Linked DNA regions of Drosophila melanogaster. The protein of the gene in region 2 interacts with the protein of the main gene of each other region in a pairwise test. Each region holds a gene or a part of one and is shown on either strand. Other genes may lie near its edges.

The links. The genes of interacting proteins can lie anywhere in the genome.
Region 1: the proteins of CG2233 (region 2) and CG15177 interact in a two-hybrid assay, tested with the Drosophila melanogaster proteins (one large-scale study listed by BioGRID).
Region 3: the proteins of CG2233 (region 2) and sug interact in a two-hybrid assay, tested with the Drosophila melanogaster proteins (one large-scale study listed by BioGRID).

The regions. Positions count from the first base shown.
Region 1 is NT_033777.3:6,626,604-6,631,129, forward strand, and holds CG15177 (uncharacterized protein), read right to left. Parts: upstream 2,719-4,526; 5' UTR 2,588-2,718; coding exon 2,228-2,587; intron 2,173-2,227; coding exon 2,062-2,172; intron 2,012-2,061; coding exon 1,805-2,011; 3' UTR 1,601-1,804; downstream 1-1,600. Other genes in the region: sowi (solwind), read right to left, coding at 356-541, 630-737, 791-1,150; sunz (sungrazer), read left to right, coding at 3,642-3,995, 4,051-4,158, 4,217-4,417.
Region 2 is NC_004354.4:8,034,209-8,040,206, forward strand, and holds CG2233 (uncharacterized protein), read right to left. Parts: upstream 3,310-5,998; 5' UTR 3,278-3,309; coding exon 3,054-3,277; intron 3,005-3,053; coding exon 2,692-3,004; intron 2,595-2,691; coding exon 2,518-2,594; intron 2,427-2,517; coding exon 2,012-2,426; intron 1,952-2,011; coding exon 1,736-1,951; 3' UTR 1,533-1,735; downstream 1-1,532.
Region 3 is NT_033778.4:12,927,113-12,932,244, reverse strand, and holds sug (sugarbabe), read right to left. Parts: upstream 3,386-5,132; 5' UTR 3,314-3,385; coding exon 2,904-3,313; intron 2,462-2,903; coding exon 1,717-2,461; 3' UTR 1,601-1,716; downstream 1-1,600. Other genes in the region: CG17019 (uncharacterized protein), read left to right, coding at 1-443, 504-643, 703-878. UniProt on the Drosophila melanogaster protein: Transcription factor which represses a set of lipase genes involved in fat catabolism.

The DNA.
Region 1 (4,526 bases), on a different chromosome or scaffold from region 2:
ATGAGCTACTTAACCGACTTCCACTTCCGACAGGCACTGCAATACTATCCACTGTGGAATGTGTGGCTGTGGTGAATCATATAATTATGAGATGCCTTCAACTGGGTCGAGGACCCCAGCCGACCACAAATGCCCGAAGTGAAGGTGAGCTTAGGCCACTATAAGCCACGGCAGGAGTTATCGCTTTAATTCAGATGCTGCTGGTCAAGAGCAATATTTAAGATTGGCATTTTAAGGCCTAAATTTAAAAATAACGTGTCGCTCAATGTTTAGATGCCTTTTCAGGGTGGATTTCTAGCATTCGATAAAAGGAAACTATTCAGTAAACACTTTTTCAAGACCACCAACATTATATTTAATTCATTTTAAGTTGCAGGTTAATGCAATGGGCCATAAGATCTTTGTCCTCTTTTGATGGAAATAACCAACCTAAGAACTCCACTAAAATTGGCTGCTGTTCCACGACAGTAGAATAGTCCTCGTAGGAAATGACTCCGTCCTTGTCCAGATCAAACTTCTTCATTAGGAACTCGGTCATATCCTAAACAATCAGACAGATAGTTAATTAGTAATATCCATTAAACTGTTTTAATTACTACTACGATTAAAGAGTAATTATGTTTACTTACCGCCTTAAGTTCATTAAGTTCATCTTCGTCTTCGCCGTAAAAAAATTTTTCACAAGCCGTGCCAACTTGCTCGCGATCAATAACGCCAGTGCCTTTGGTATCATAGACCTATGGGAAAACGTATTTTCGATACAAATTTACTTAAGGATAGCAGGACTGACCTCGAAAGCAAATCGCATTCGCACTTGAATGTCATTGGTTGTGTAGAGATCGAAGAGGTGGATCCAGGCCCTGGGACTGACATATTTCGTATCTTTTGTGATCGCGAGCAGAGTGCGTTCGATCACCTGGACACTGGCCACGTTGAAGAGCACCAAGAAGATCTGATAGAACTGCTTCTTGGTCATCTGCTTGCACTGCGGTCCGTTGGCCTTTGAGAACTTGTAATAAACGACGAGCAAACAGGTGATGTCCGTCTGGGACAACTCCGAAGTTAGGGTTAACTCCTTGATCAAACTCCCGTAGAGCGCTGCAAACCGACTGTTCTCCATGCTATCTATGGTGGCGTCTAGGTTTTCCATAACTAAATTCTTTTTAATGTTTTTTATTTCCTTGTAAAGTTTTTTTTGTTATTTTTTTCCTTATTTTGAAACTTTTTTTTTGTGTGTGTTTTCTTTTTCTAATTTTTTTTTTTTTTTGTGATTTTTGTGTTATGTTCGGGTTGGCAGATGGATTTTGAATAACAATGTTTAAAAACTATTTCGTATAAGTTCAAAGGCTCCTGCGTCGCATTTTTTCGTTTTTGGCTATCGGAATTATATAAGTATCCAAAACGGCTCATAGCGCCGTTACCCATACAGTATTCTTTAAAGTGTGCATATCCACTTGATCAGAGCCCCGTGCAGAATGTGAACAGAGATTTTGGAGAGCTTATGATGCATACGCAGTGTCTGCTAGTTCACATAAAGAGTCGCCCACTCTATCGCCTTATATAAACCAAGTTAACACAAGAACCAATCGCAAGTCCTTTTAAGACAGCTCACGCGAAACATTTTGCTTTATTTTCAAAGTGTTGGTGGAAATTTGATATATCATGCTTATAAAAATGATTAATTTGAAATCATACAAAAATTTTGATCAACTACTTTGGCGGCATCCTTTTGGTCCTCATTCATTGTCGTTTGTCGTTCGATTATTATCACAGTGGGATAATCAAGCTTAATCAAACGACAAGCCTATTTTGCGTCCGGATTACAATAATTGAGCATGGAGTCCATGTTGATAACATGGGCCATAAGATCCCTTTCTTCGTTCGATGGAAATAGCCAGCCCAAGAACTCAACCAAAACGGGTTGTTGTGAAACAACCGAGGAGTAGTCCTCAAACGAAATGACTCCATCCTTGTCTACATCAAACTTCTTCATAATAAATTCAGTCATGTCCTGTGAGGAGTAAATTTATTAAATTATTCTAAATTGATAAGCAAGCTTACCGCTCTGAGCTCAATTAGTTCATCTTCGTCGTCGCCTTCGTGGAAGAATTTCTCGCATGCCACGCCCACCTGCTCGCGATCGATAACTCCGGTGTTCTTGGTGTCATAAACCTAATAAAGAACCCTATTAGAGCCTTCTAGAAATGCTTAACAATCCATTACCCACTTCAAAGGCAAACTTCATACGGCGCTCCAGATCCTCTGTGGTGTACAGCTCAAAGAGATCAACCCAGGCACGGGGACTCACGTACTTGGTATCCTTGGTGATGGCCAGAAGGGAGCGTTCAATCACCTGAACATTGGCCACGTTGAAGAGCACCAAGTAGATCTGGTAGAACTGATTCTTCTTCATCTGTTTGGCGCCAGGTCCGTTGAACCTGACGAACTTGTAGTAAACGCAAAGCAAACAGGTGATGTCCAAGGTGGACATCTTCGAGGTTGCAGCGATCTCCTTAATCAATCCACCGTACAGGGCCGAGAACTTGCTGTTCTCGGTGCTATCGACAGTGGAGTCTAGGTTTTCCATGGTTCAGGGAAGCTCACGGTGATTTACTCTTTACTTTGATTTACTACTGGATATATGATATTGTTTGATTATCGATTAAGGAGTTACAATGATTTAATGGATATGTCTAGTGCAGCTGGCATATGTTTCCTTCGCCTGCTTTTCTGGATTTCAAAAATACAAAATATATGGTTGCCCTCTTTAAGCGTTTTATGAGAATTAAAATGTTTCCAATTTCGCTTCCGCGCCATTTGTCTTGCTTAACAAATTTATGCCGTAAGTCTCTTCCAAACACCGTACGTAAAATATATCAATCAAAAGTCCATACCAAAATCCAGCCCAACTTGCCTGTAAATCCGCCAACACTTGGCGATGTCAACTGTGGAGACATTAAGGAGCGTGAATCCTTGCCGCCCTCTCTCCTTCATCATCCACTCTTATTTTATTGTTATTATGCCGTGTCGAGCTGCTCAGCCGCCTCCTCATTTTTTTTGGTATTTCGGTGGGCGTGGCACGTGTGAGTGTGTGCTTGCGTGAGTGTGTTTCGAAGGGGGCATACAATTATACAACAAAGGGAAGGAGATTCCGAACATTTGTTACCCCAAACAAAATGGCTACACAGCCATTTCCGACGAATTTCCACATGGAAGGCTTTACACCCATCTCAGCGCTTTTGTTTGGATTATTATATTCGCGTTTCTCATGCGCACAGCTTTCAGCTTTTTTCTCAGCCTTTGTGTGTTTCATCAGGCGGGTTTGTTTCAAATATTTATTCGAAATGGGGGACAGATGTAGTCCATGTAGCGTGGCTGATGTATTTTTTATGTCGCGGCGTTGTTTTATCGCTTTTAAATTGCGCCAGTTACATTCCCGGCGAATCCTTAGGCTGCGGCTGCGACTTACCCAATCTATTTGCAATTTGTCTTGCATAACCCTCACCCTTTTAAGCAGGCCAGAGCCTCATAAGTTAGGCATTTTCATCACACACCCGAAACACACGCCCCATTACACAGTACTCTCTTAAAAAACATTTTAAATAATAATTACTTGTTTACCATTGCCATTAAAAAACACAATGAACCGCATCGACCTTACCCTGGACGACATGGCCAACAACAAGTTCCTCACCATGTACAGTACTTTGATCAAGAGCTTCGCTGCCTCCACGGAGTTTTCCACCAACGAAGTGGTCAGCTTGCTGATCGTGTTTTACAAGTACGCCCTGAACAACAGGTCCCGCATGATGTCCACCAGCCAGCTGTACAATCTATTCCTCGTCAGCTTTGGGATCTTCGACGTGACCATCATCGACCGGATTTCGATGAATATCACGCAGGATGGCCGATCAGTCTCTCCAGAAGCCTGGATGCGGCTGTTCTGTGTGTTCTTCAACGGAAGTCTGCAGGAGCGAATGAAGTTCGCATTTGAGGTGGTTGCTCCGAAATCGTGGCTACTCCTTTATTAAATTTCCCCATGGACTACAGGTTTATACAAGCGGTGGTGCTGTGGTTCTGAATCGCGAGGTGGTCGGCGTGGCCATTGAACAATTCTTCACTGGCGATGACGACGACGAGGTCAACGAATTGCGAGCGGTGAGTGTACTGACATTATTGACAATTATGCTTGCATTTCAGCACCGTTTCCGAGCAGGACATGTGCGAGTTCATATTCGGAAAATTCGACACTGACAAGGATGGGGTGATAGCGTTTGAAGAGTACGCCGAAATTGTACAGAATCAGCCTGGATTGCTCGAGTTTTTGGGTAAAATATTCCCGGATGACAAGGACAGATCACTGGTGGCGTACTGCCACAACATTGAGTCTATGTTTCCGCCAGAAGGTTTATATTAAAAGAAAGAAAGGAGGCTGTTCCTTGTGGAAAATTCTTCGTATTTTGCATAATTGTATACATTCTCAGCCTGCTAAGGAAAGCTTTCATAAAATAGCGCAAGTGTTGAAA
Region 2 (5,998 bases):
TCATTTCTGTATATAGTGTATTCGGGTATATTAAAACGGTCACTATGAGTCAGCCACGTTTCATTTATAAGTGCTATGTGAATGTGATTATTTTCTAAGAACTTGATCAGTTCTATACGTTTGTTTCTAACGGCACGAGCATTCCATGCCATAATATTCAAATTATCAATAAAATTATTTGTTTGTGTAAACATACTTAATCGCTAACTGAGAAATTACTTGAAATTGCTCTCCCTTATTGGAGCATTCATTAAGTCTTGTTATTAATTCAGACAAAAGAGAATTTATCTCTTCACATGAAAAGAGATTAGTTTCATTTGTGATATTTGCTTTGGGATTAGGCAAAGTATGAATATTGGTGAGTGCATTACTATAGCTACCAAAGTTGAGTTGTTGCACTCTCTTAGTTTGAGTAGGCAATGAGATCTGGGGTTGATTTCCAAAGAGAGCAGATGGAGCGATGTGTTGCTTAGAATTCCTCATTCCATGAGCTTCCAAGTTATTTCTTCCAATGCGTTGTGATGAGCGTTTGGAAAGTAAATTGAGATAAGAAATTCGGCATGGGCATGTCAGTTCTGTCGATGGATGGTCGCCTTTACAGTTAGCGCATTTTTTGTTGTTTACGTCCATACATACGGCAGTCTGGTGTGATCCAGCACAATGGGCACATGATGTTTTAACTGAACAATTATTTGATCCATGTCCAAATAGTTGGCAATTGTAGCATTGAGTAATTTTATTCTGCAATTTCACTTTATACTCCCAGCGTACTTTAGTGTGGTTGACATACATAAAGTTTTTGCGCAGTTCCTTTACTGTGATACTTTTGTTTACGAAATAAACAATGTACAGTAATAATTCATGATCAGACTTAGTTTTCTTTTCCACAATTTTGACTTCGGTGCATTGTAATCCTAGGTTTTGTAGCATGGATTTGACAGTTTCAATTGGTAGTTTATCCAGCCCGGATAAAATGGCTTTGTATGGCTTGTTTGATCTAGTATCGTACGTGTAGAACTCACAGTTATGTTCCTTGAGTTGGTTACAAGCTGCATTGAAACAGTCCATATTTGGTAAAAATATTTTAATTCCAATTGAGATGGTTTTAATAAAGTAATCATCAGTTTTAATTTTAGCCATTAGCTCGTGTACAAATTTTGTATTTTGTTTAATTAATGTTATAGGAGGTGGTTTGATTATTATTTCATCAAGTGTGTCCGTTTCAATAGGTTTATCATCATTATCATCGTCTAAAGTTTGTAGTGGACGAAAATAATTTGTAAATTGCTTGGAGCCCCGTTCGTTCTGGCGCTCCACTAGTGGTTTATTCCTTTTAGTACGCATTTTTTCAACGGCAGATGCTTCAGCATCGCCAATTGCATCACTTGAACGTTTGATTGTAGTTTTTTGCGAATATCACAATTAAAGAAGAAAACAGAAAATATTTAATGTACACCAAAATGTTCTCAGAGAGAATAGAAGATTTTACATCCGCGTTCGACAAGAGCTAGTCGAAGACTGACATAATATTTAAAGATTCAAATATGCGCAAATTGTGACTTTATTACTGGAATTAAGGATCGTATACGGATACAAAGCAATACGGGCTGATTATATAGACAAGTATTATTGCATTAAATGCATTTTAATGCATTAAAAGGCGCTTTATACAAATTGCATGTACACAAAGAGTCCCATATTTGTTGGAACAGAGGGATAATATAAAGGGAACTGTTTATATTGTGGTAGCCTCGGTTGTCCTGCTGACATTCATATTTTCATTCTCAAAGGGACCGGGAAAATTGTCCAGTTTGTGGGCCACATCCTCCACACGGCAGCACTGCACCATTCCAAAGGCGGGAAACTCGTGGAGTCTGGAGAAGAGGGTGTTCCTCAGCCAGGACACTTGGTTGCACATCGAGGGGCACAGATTGCTTAAGTCACTGCGATACTGCAAGATCGAAAGGATTGAATATTTCTGAGCATAACACATTCAATGGCATTTACGCACGAAGGGCGAGTTGTGTCCAATGATGACGAACTCATCCTGTCCGGTACCGGACTTTTCCACAGCGTGAACATGGGCCCAAATGTGGGCGGGAATGGGCAGGAATTTGCCACCAATCAGTTCAATGTTGAGCGATCGGCTTCCGTTGCATGATTGCCCGGCGAACGTCGGCAGCTTCACGGTTCCGGAAACACCCAAACGAATGTCGAAGTGGACACCGATGGCATCACGCATTGCCTTCGTCCAATGCTTCCAGTTGCCGGAACGCAGAACCTCCAACCAGACGGTGGTCAGCAAGTCCTCGTAGACAACCAAGTGTCTACTAACCATCTCATCCTGGACCAAACTGCCAACCTGAAAAGTGTCCTCCGTGAACAACTGCTTCTCCTTTGCCAAGTACGCATCAAGTTCACTCTTGCTGCTCGAATTGATATTATGTTAATTATGATTTTAATCAAAGAGCCACTCCTCTAATCACAGGAATAGCGCAACCTCCTTATTGCACCTACCTGATGGTCTCGAATAGATTTTTTTGGTAACTGATAGGAGTATCAAGTCCGATATCGTTAAGTTGTCCCAATTGGGTCTACACATGTATGTATATGGAACAAAAAAAAAAAAAAAACAAAATACGTGAATATATAACAATATATAATATTGCTCAAAAAGTTAACACAACCCACCTCTGGGAAAATCTGGATATTATTGAAATTTGTGGTATAACCAATATATTTCAATTGAAATGCGGCCAAATCATAGCACAATGCTGAATATTTTATTAAACCAATGCCATCGAATTTTCTTCCGACAACTAGAGTCATGCCCGTGCAATTTGGCAATTTGTTCATGCTCTCAAACAACTGAGGGCCGACCTCCAGACACCGAACACTAATTACATCTTTTATGCCATCTTTATAGGTAAACCGATGAATAGGGTCGCAGGTCATTGTAAGTTTAGTCGCTTTGATTGTAGTCGAGATCTGGTTGTTGTAATAGCTGAAAGCAAATCATCAGCAAATGCGAGTAGAAGATAATCAAACAGTACTTGTAATAGTCTATGGAAAATCCGCTCGCGCAGAAAAGGTCAATGGTCTGGTAATTTTCCCGTTCTAATTTTCGCACGGAATCGAACAATAAACGCTGGGAGCCAAAATTGCTAATAACAACCGGAGCCGGAGAACCGATGCTCAGTTCACACGTTCCCCTTGCATCCTGGGCCATAACGGAAGTAACCAAAATGCCCAGGATCACGGCGTTAATCGAAAACATCGCGACGAATTCAAAAGTCAAACTGATCGCCCCATTCGGTGGCGATCACTTTTTTATAGCCCCCAGAAAGGTGCTGATGCTGCAGATAACCTTCTTATCGCACGATTTGTGATTGCTGGCAGGTTGCGACCCTTTTGCGATTATTTCAGCTGAGGTTCGAGATAAACAAAATAATAATAAACAATAATAAACAATAATAATCAATCCATTGATTACTGTGCATATGTAAAAATATATATAAATATAGAAAAAGGCACTATTGATAACGATTCGATTACAATTTCGATGAAATAAGAACACACTATTGTTTGTTTTTTTTTTTATGAATTTTTGTTTATTTTTTTTATTATTTTTTTTTTTTTTTGCAAATTTTCTCTGTTTTCTTTAGTTTTTTGTTTTTTTCCTTTTTATTTATTTTTTGTCTCATTTCTTATAGTTTTTTGCTTTTGTCGGCCATTTCATTAATACTAAGTGTACGCATTAAAGGTAAAATATGTTTTATGTTTTACGTTTTACTTGTTAATTGGTTTCCTTCGCATTTTCTGCTTACACGCTCTCCTCCATTAATAATAGGCTTACTAAGAATTCTTGTATTTGTATATCTAGAGAATGCTAAAGGGGCCAAAATGATGTCATGTATGTTAATGTAATGGTTTCTATATCCACCCTTTCTGCCAGCGAAAACTAGTTTCCCCCTTGATTTTCTGCTTCATAATCGTAATAGTTAATATTATTATTATTAATAATAGTATTATTAGTTCCTGCATTACGTGCCACACGTAACGTTGCTTTAAAGTTATTCTGTTTAGCGGTAGGCGCTTAAGGCTAAGATCGTTTGCTTTTACGTTTCAGAAAAGTGATTCTTTAGTGAGTTTTTTTTTTTTTTTTTTTTTTTTTGCTATATGGTACATACTCCTCGACTCGACTCCACTTGACCCATCCTATCCAGCTATCCAGCCATCCTGCTATCAGGCTATCTTTCTATCTTTCTATCTTGCTATACTACGCCTTATCATCATCATCGTCTTCTAGTTAATGCCCTCGTTAGGTAACAACAAAAGGTCAACAATTATATGCTAGTATGCCAAATGCATCTGCTAGAACTTGGGCGATTCGATCAGATTGGACAAAATCAAATGCGTCTTGTTCTGTCGTCGGGTGATGTTAAAATATATATATATATATATATATATGTTGGTGTTATATTCATATATGCAAATATAGGGATGTCGCTATATATAGAGGTTTTACTATATATATGTTCCTGTTTATATATATATATTGACTGAATTAAAAACTTCTTTTGTTTGAATCGTTTGGTTTTCCCAATTTTTATTTTCATACATTTCACGTTTATCTCCTCGTGCGAATTATTCTCAATTAAATGCTAAAATTAAGTATAGAAAAAAAATGTTTCTCATTTTTGTATATGTATTACTAGATACAACATTTTTCGTATTTAAATATATATATTTTTGTATATATATATATATATGTTCTTTATATAGAATAAGGGTTGTTTTGTGATCTTTTTTTCTGTTCTTTACTCGCTTTCGAAAAAAAAAAACTAATTTACACAAACAAAACGAAATTTGCTGCGAGTGTAAGCCGGGGAAAGACACGAACCTATTGACCGCCTCTATATACAAAGACAAACACGCATCCCTAATCTCAACCACACCCTGCAGTTCCACAATTCATCGCTCTTTGAAAACAAATTGAGCGGTGATTCATCGATGAAAATGGATCGGTGAATGCAACTGCAGGGCACACACAGGCTCACGCACAGAATAAATAGAAATCAGAACCCCAAATATACATAAAAAAAAAGGTGCATGATACAGTTACAGATTTGGTTAGATTCGACACAGATAGTTGCTATCATAAATCCTACTGCTATTTCAGGATCAGAGTCCCCGATGGAAAGATGATCTGGAAGGACCCATGGATCTATATACAAGGACACATTGACAAGGAGGATTGGATGCATGCAGATGGTGGGGGTGAAGATGTAGACGAAGAATACACATGGTGGAAGACGGCAGAGACTCCAAACATGTATCATTAATTTACTGAATTGTCACTGCAATTTGGGGGATAGCATCCTGCATCCTGGCACCTACTTGCGAAGGCTTCTGGTCATTAGAAAGCAATTTCGGATTACTTTTCATTCTTTTTTTTTTGTTTTCATTTTTTTTTTTGTTTAGGCGCGTCATTGGCATATACAAAAATGTCGTGGTTGTTGTGACTTATTAACTACATTTGTATCCATATTATTGGTTTGTGGTTCTGATTCTGCGGATCGTGCTGGATTTCTTCCCAGTGTCTGCCGGCGTGTTTGGGTGTAGGTGTAGGTGTGGGTGTGTGTGTGTGCGTGTGTGGGTGTTCCTTTTGCGTGTGTATAAATTACAGGTGCATGGGTGATGTGCCGAATTAAAATCGAAAAACAATAAGATTTCATTGAATTTGCTCATAGCGGTCCGTAGGATGATGATTTGGGAATGGGGATCGGACTACATTTTTAATAACATTTTCTTTTGGTTAATCAAATAAAATAAGAATTCGTGTACCGACAATTTGGACTGAGACGTTCCCTTGCGGTTGGATTTCTTGAATTGATTTTGTTTCGATTTTCTTTAGTTTGTTCTTTTTTTTTTTTTTGTTGGGGTTTTCTCCTTTTTTGTTTTTAAATTAGTTAACAACTCTAAGCATAGGTGTGTG
Region 3 (5,132 bases), on a different chromosome or scaffold from region 2:
CTGAGTGAACACCCAGAGCACGGCTTGCATCCGCACTCCCATCGCCAGAGCTGCCAGCGCTGCGGTAAGAATAAGACAAACATTCGTCGACATGTTGAGAAAATGCGACGCCATCTGGAGAACTCGCAAATGTCCGAGGAGGACATCAAACGGGAGCTCCAGGAGTTTCTCACGTACCTGGAGCAGCGAACCAAGTCGGTGGATGCCTCCGATGCGGACAGCCACGCGGTGTCGCCACTCAGCGTGGATGCTATCAGTGTGGCTGCTGGTGGAAGATCACCGGACATGCCCATCACGCCAACAATTGAGTTCTCGCCAACGCAGGACGAAGATATCCGCTGGGACGATGACGAGGGCATCCATGTATACGCCGCTCCATCGGACTTCGAACCGACAGCCGGCATTGACTCACGATTTGTCAATTTGGAAGACTTTGAGGATTTGTAAATGCTCTATTCTCTAGAATGTTCATGATCGATTAATGCCTCTCTATTGATTTATAGAAAAGACTTGGAGGGTTTGACAGTGAAGCAGTTGAAGGAGGTGCTGATGCTGCACCGCGTCGACTACAAAGGATGTTGCGAGAAGCAGGAGCTTCTCGACCGCGTCAGCAGACTGTGGAAAACCATGCGCGAGTGTCCAGGTGAGCTTTGGACTTTGCACTACAATTTCACCCTCATAACGATTCAACCATTTACGCAGCTGTTGAAAAACTCGCCACTGATGAGCTGTGCAAGATCTGCATGGATGCGCCGATTGAGTGCGTTTTTCTAGAGTGCGGACACATGGCCACCTGCACGAGCTGTGGAAAAGTGTTGAACGAGTGCCCAATTTGCCGACAATATATTGTACGAGTTGTAAGATTTTTTAGAGCGTAATGATACGGCTAATCTTACGGTAACTGGACATAGTGTAATGATGGAAGCCGATAGCCGCCACAAGCTACATACAGATACAGATCCAGCCCAGCTGTACAAGTTGTACAGCAGATCCTGATGATGCGACTACAACGTATATGTTTCCTTAAATGACGCGAGTGCAACAATAATATTAATTTGATTATTTGGTTCTTCTCTGTAGTATGTTGCCAGTATATATATATGCCTATATATAGTGTAAAACCTGATATCGCTTTTAAAGTGTATTCATCTATTTCAAATGTGAAATACTTTTGCTATTTATTTTGTTTGTTCTTGTTGTTTGTATAAAAACGAGAGGTTATCTAGATCAACTAACATTCCTATAAACCGCAAAAAAAAACATTAAATCTGTTATTAACAGTTGTGTGAAAAACTCGTCTAGATGCGCATTTAAACAATAAATATTTTCCAATATCTAGCGCTCTATTAGCCCAGCCATTCGAAATGGGGATTTTCCTCCAAACAAAGGTTGTCTGGATCATAAATTCTAATCGAAGTCGATTAAGATTGGTCACTAGTTTTGTGACGAATCGCCTGTAACTGGGGATTTTCCCATACCTTGAGCTTATGGTTTTTCGAAATCTTTGAAATACTCTTTTTGCCCAGAACCACTATGAAGGAACCTAGATCAGATCAATCCCGAAGATACTCCCATGCCACCATGCCAAACTAGAGCAGTTCAATTACAACAGTCTTTAATCACGTTAAATAGTAATCTAGGTGTGGTGACAAGAGCTGGGAAACAGCGCAATGACTAGAAGGGGAAGAGAGACGAGAGGCGAACCGATTGGCCAGTTCAGATTCGATGGATGCGCAGGTCGAGCGGTGACTCCACGTCCATCTTAACGAAGAAGTCCTCGCTGTGGAGATAGCTATGCTGTCTATCGCCTAGCCAATAGCTGGGCGAGAATTCCGCATCCTGTTTGGGTTTTAGCGAGTAATCGCTGGGCTCATTGTTGGAGTCATCGTAGTAGCGGGCGGATGAGGAGGAGCTGGTGGACTCCACACTGCTGGCAGCGGGAAGACACGTGAACGCTGATTCGCTGCTGGCCTCCAGGAGACAGGGTACGCTGGGCAGAGTGAGCGGCTGGCTGGCGATCAGGTGGATGCTGTGCTTGAAGGTCTTGACGTGCTTTCGCAGCGAGGACGGATCCGTGTAGCGCTTCTGGCAGCCGGCCACTTTGCACATGTACGGCTTCTCCATCGAATGGGTGCGCGTGTGCTTGAAACGATCCGAGGAGTTCGAGTACGCCTTCTGGCAGCCCTCGAAGCTGCACTTGTAGGGTTTCTCGCCCGAGTGTGACCTAATGTGGATCTTCAGGTTCTCCGCCCGCGAGAAGGACTTCTCGCACAGGTGACAGCGATGTGGCTTCTCCTTCGTGTGGGTGCGGGTATGGACAAGCATCTTGTAGCGGGCATTGAATCCTCGCTCGCTGCGCTGACATCCCCGCCAGCGGCAATAGTAGAGTCCGTCTGTCAGGCTGGCGATCGCATGTCGCTGGGTCACGTGCTGTGCCAGTGCATCCAAGGTGTCGAAAACTCTGCAAGGATCAAAGGGATATAAGTGGTTAGTACGAAAATAACATGTACTGGATTGATTTCTTATCCAATATTAATACACTTGCTGACCATAAACAATACACTGCATCTCTATCAATTTGACCCAAAATCACATTATTATCGCTATTGGAGGGTTTATCAAAAAGTCGAGTCCAACAGTTCAGCAAATGCCAGGCTGCCTCCGGGGTTTTTTTTTTATTTCTTTCGAATGCGTAATCAGTTTCAATGGTAAAACGCGGGGGAACTGTGTTTTATATTTTTCTAGAACTACTCAATGTCTTTCTCTGGCAACTCAAAATTCAAAAGAAAATATAATGCTGAGTTTTTTTTTCGTTTTTAAAAAACATTACGAAAGTGCTGAGACCCCTTTAGGAAATTTCTTTGAAATTTTCACAATAATTCTGTAATGCAGTTGACACTTACCTATCGCAATCTGTCCAGTTGCATACGAAATCGCTGGCGGTGCCGCACTCGCTGCTGCTGCTGCAGGACTTGCTGTCGTCGGGGAACTCCACTGGACTGCGGCAGAGCTCGTCCTGCTGGCCACGAGCCTTCATGATCACGGACTGGGTGCGCTGACGATATCCGTATCCGGCGATGGGACGCGGCGGTGTGATGGGCGGCGTGGGAAACCTGATGTGCTGCATCTGCTGCTGGTGCTGCTGGTGCTGCTGCTGGTGGTGTTGGTGGTGATCCGCCAACCAGCTGCCGGAATCCGAGTAGGCGGCTATGTACGGTGGTGTGTTATACGGCGTAAAGTAGCCGAGAGGCGGCTCGTAGATGCCTCTGCTGTGTGGGCCGCTGTTGAAGATTGACTTTTGTATTATATCCATGTTTGTTGTCTGTGGTGGGTGCTGATCGAGAAAATTTGTTGCTTTCGCTAAAGCGCCTGCCGATCGAATGAGCCGCTCGCCTGCAGAGGTTCGGGTAATATGCGAAACTTGGACGGCGATAAGGGGTCGCCCAGACGGACAGGGTATGCTTATCAGTTTCGAAGGCTGCAGACGGGTCCGGCGGGGGCGTGGCAGGGGCAGGGGGAGCAGACGGCGGCAGACGGAACCAAAACAGTGGAGCGCCGAGGAGCAGGTGCGTAGCGGTGGAGCGGTGGAAAAAAATCCGCTGGGGCAAATGGATCTGGGGCAAAAGCACACACTACGTGAGTGAAACTCTGTGCTGGATGGACTGCGACGCAGATGGGTGACTGGGGGGCGACCAGGGTACGGTCTGGGCCCGCTTATCAACGCACAAGTGGAGAGCCAGCTAGTCAGCCAGCCAGCCAGTCCACATATGTACACAGGCACATGTGTGTGCCCGATGATCGCTCTTTGGGGGGCAAGTCTTATCGCCCGGTGCCGTCTGCCTGCCTGCCTGCCTGACTTGCACTTCGTACCGCGTAGCGAATTCCCTGCCGCACCCCACCCTGCGTACCGATCCGAGTCCCACTCCCGATCCGAATCGCACCCCTTCATTGGAACAGGTACGTCAACTCTTGGAGCCGTACTAGTGCACTCAGAGAAAAGCGAATGGACTAATACGTCTGAAGACGCATCTAGATCTTTTGCCTGAGAATGGCTAGTTCTAGAATCTACAAAGAGGCCACTATAAGATCGCCTTGCATAATTTCCATAAATAGATTTATTAATAAAACAATTAATTGTTTTCCTGACCTAACTATATATTCGAGCTTGTGACTAAAAAGTAAATAGTTATAGTTTTGAGACAAAGAATCAAAAGTTTAAGCAGACAATTTGAATCGTTATGTGATTCCTATACTCTGAAGGGAAATGGATAAAAACTTTCGTGGAAGCCACTTAATTTCAATTCTGTAATATATTTCTCAATTTCTCAATATGTTTTATTATTACAAAGTTAAAATTAGACTTTAAGCTTAATAGCTGTTTATAAAGTTAAAGCTTAGAAGCTTCCTTGAATTCCGAACTTTATAATGGATATAAAACCCCAACTGATGTGTTGCATAAGGAAATCACGCTAATTTTATTAAATTTGATTTGAGTACACTGAAAACAAAAGTGATATTTTCTAGCTTGAGCTTTGTGAAACCCCACACACATTCTCATTTATAATTTTATCACTTTATCAGAAATACTAAACTTCCCCCACATGTGTTTGATATGCAAGCGTACGATCCCAAAACCCAGAAATTCATTCTTGGGTTCGCCCGCCGGTTTCACCTCAGTGTGTGGGCGCTGCGTCTGGGACGGCGATAAGGTGGTGGTGGTTGGTTATCTCACGCCAAGTCAACAAACGCCGCCACATGCCGCCATGGTACCATATCTTTTGGCCCGAAAACTTGGTGCGCCATGACGCGAATGGTTCGGCGGGACGCGGAGTTGCGCTCTGCTGGGTGGTGGCTATGGCAATCAGCTATCAGCCAGCCATAAAGCTATCGTCGTTATCAGCGCGGCGGAGGCGCTGTCTGGTCCCGTGAATCACTGGGGGAGCAACCTTCGCTCTACCCCGGCGCTGCAGAGCACCAGCGCCAATCGACCAATCCCCACAACGTAATCCGTCCCTGTGCACGGGCCAACGAGTGGGGTCCCTGGCTTACGTAAAGAGACAACCTGACATCAGGGACTTTGATAAGCCCTTGCCCTCTATCAGCAGTGCGACAGGTGGAGGCGAACGTGGTTG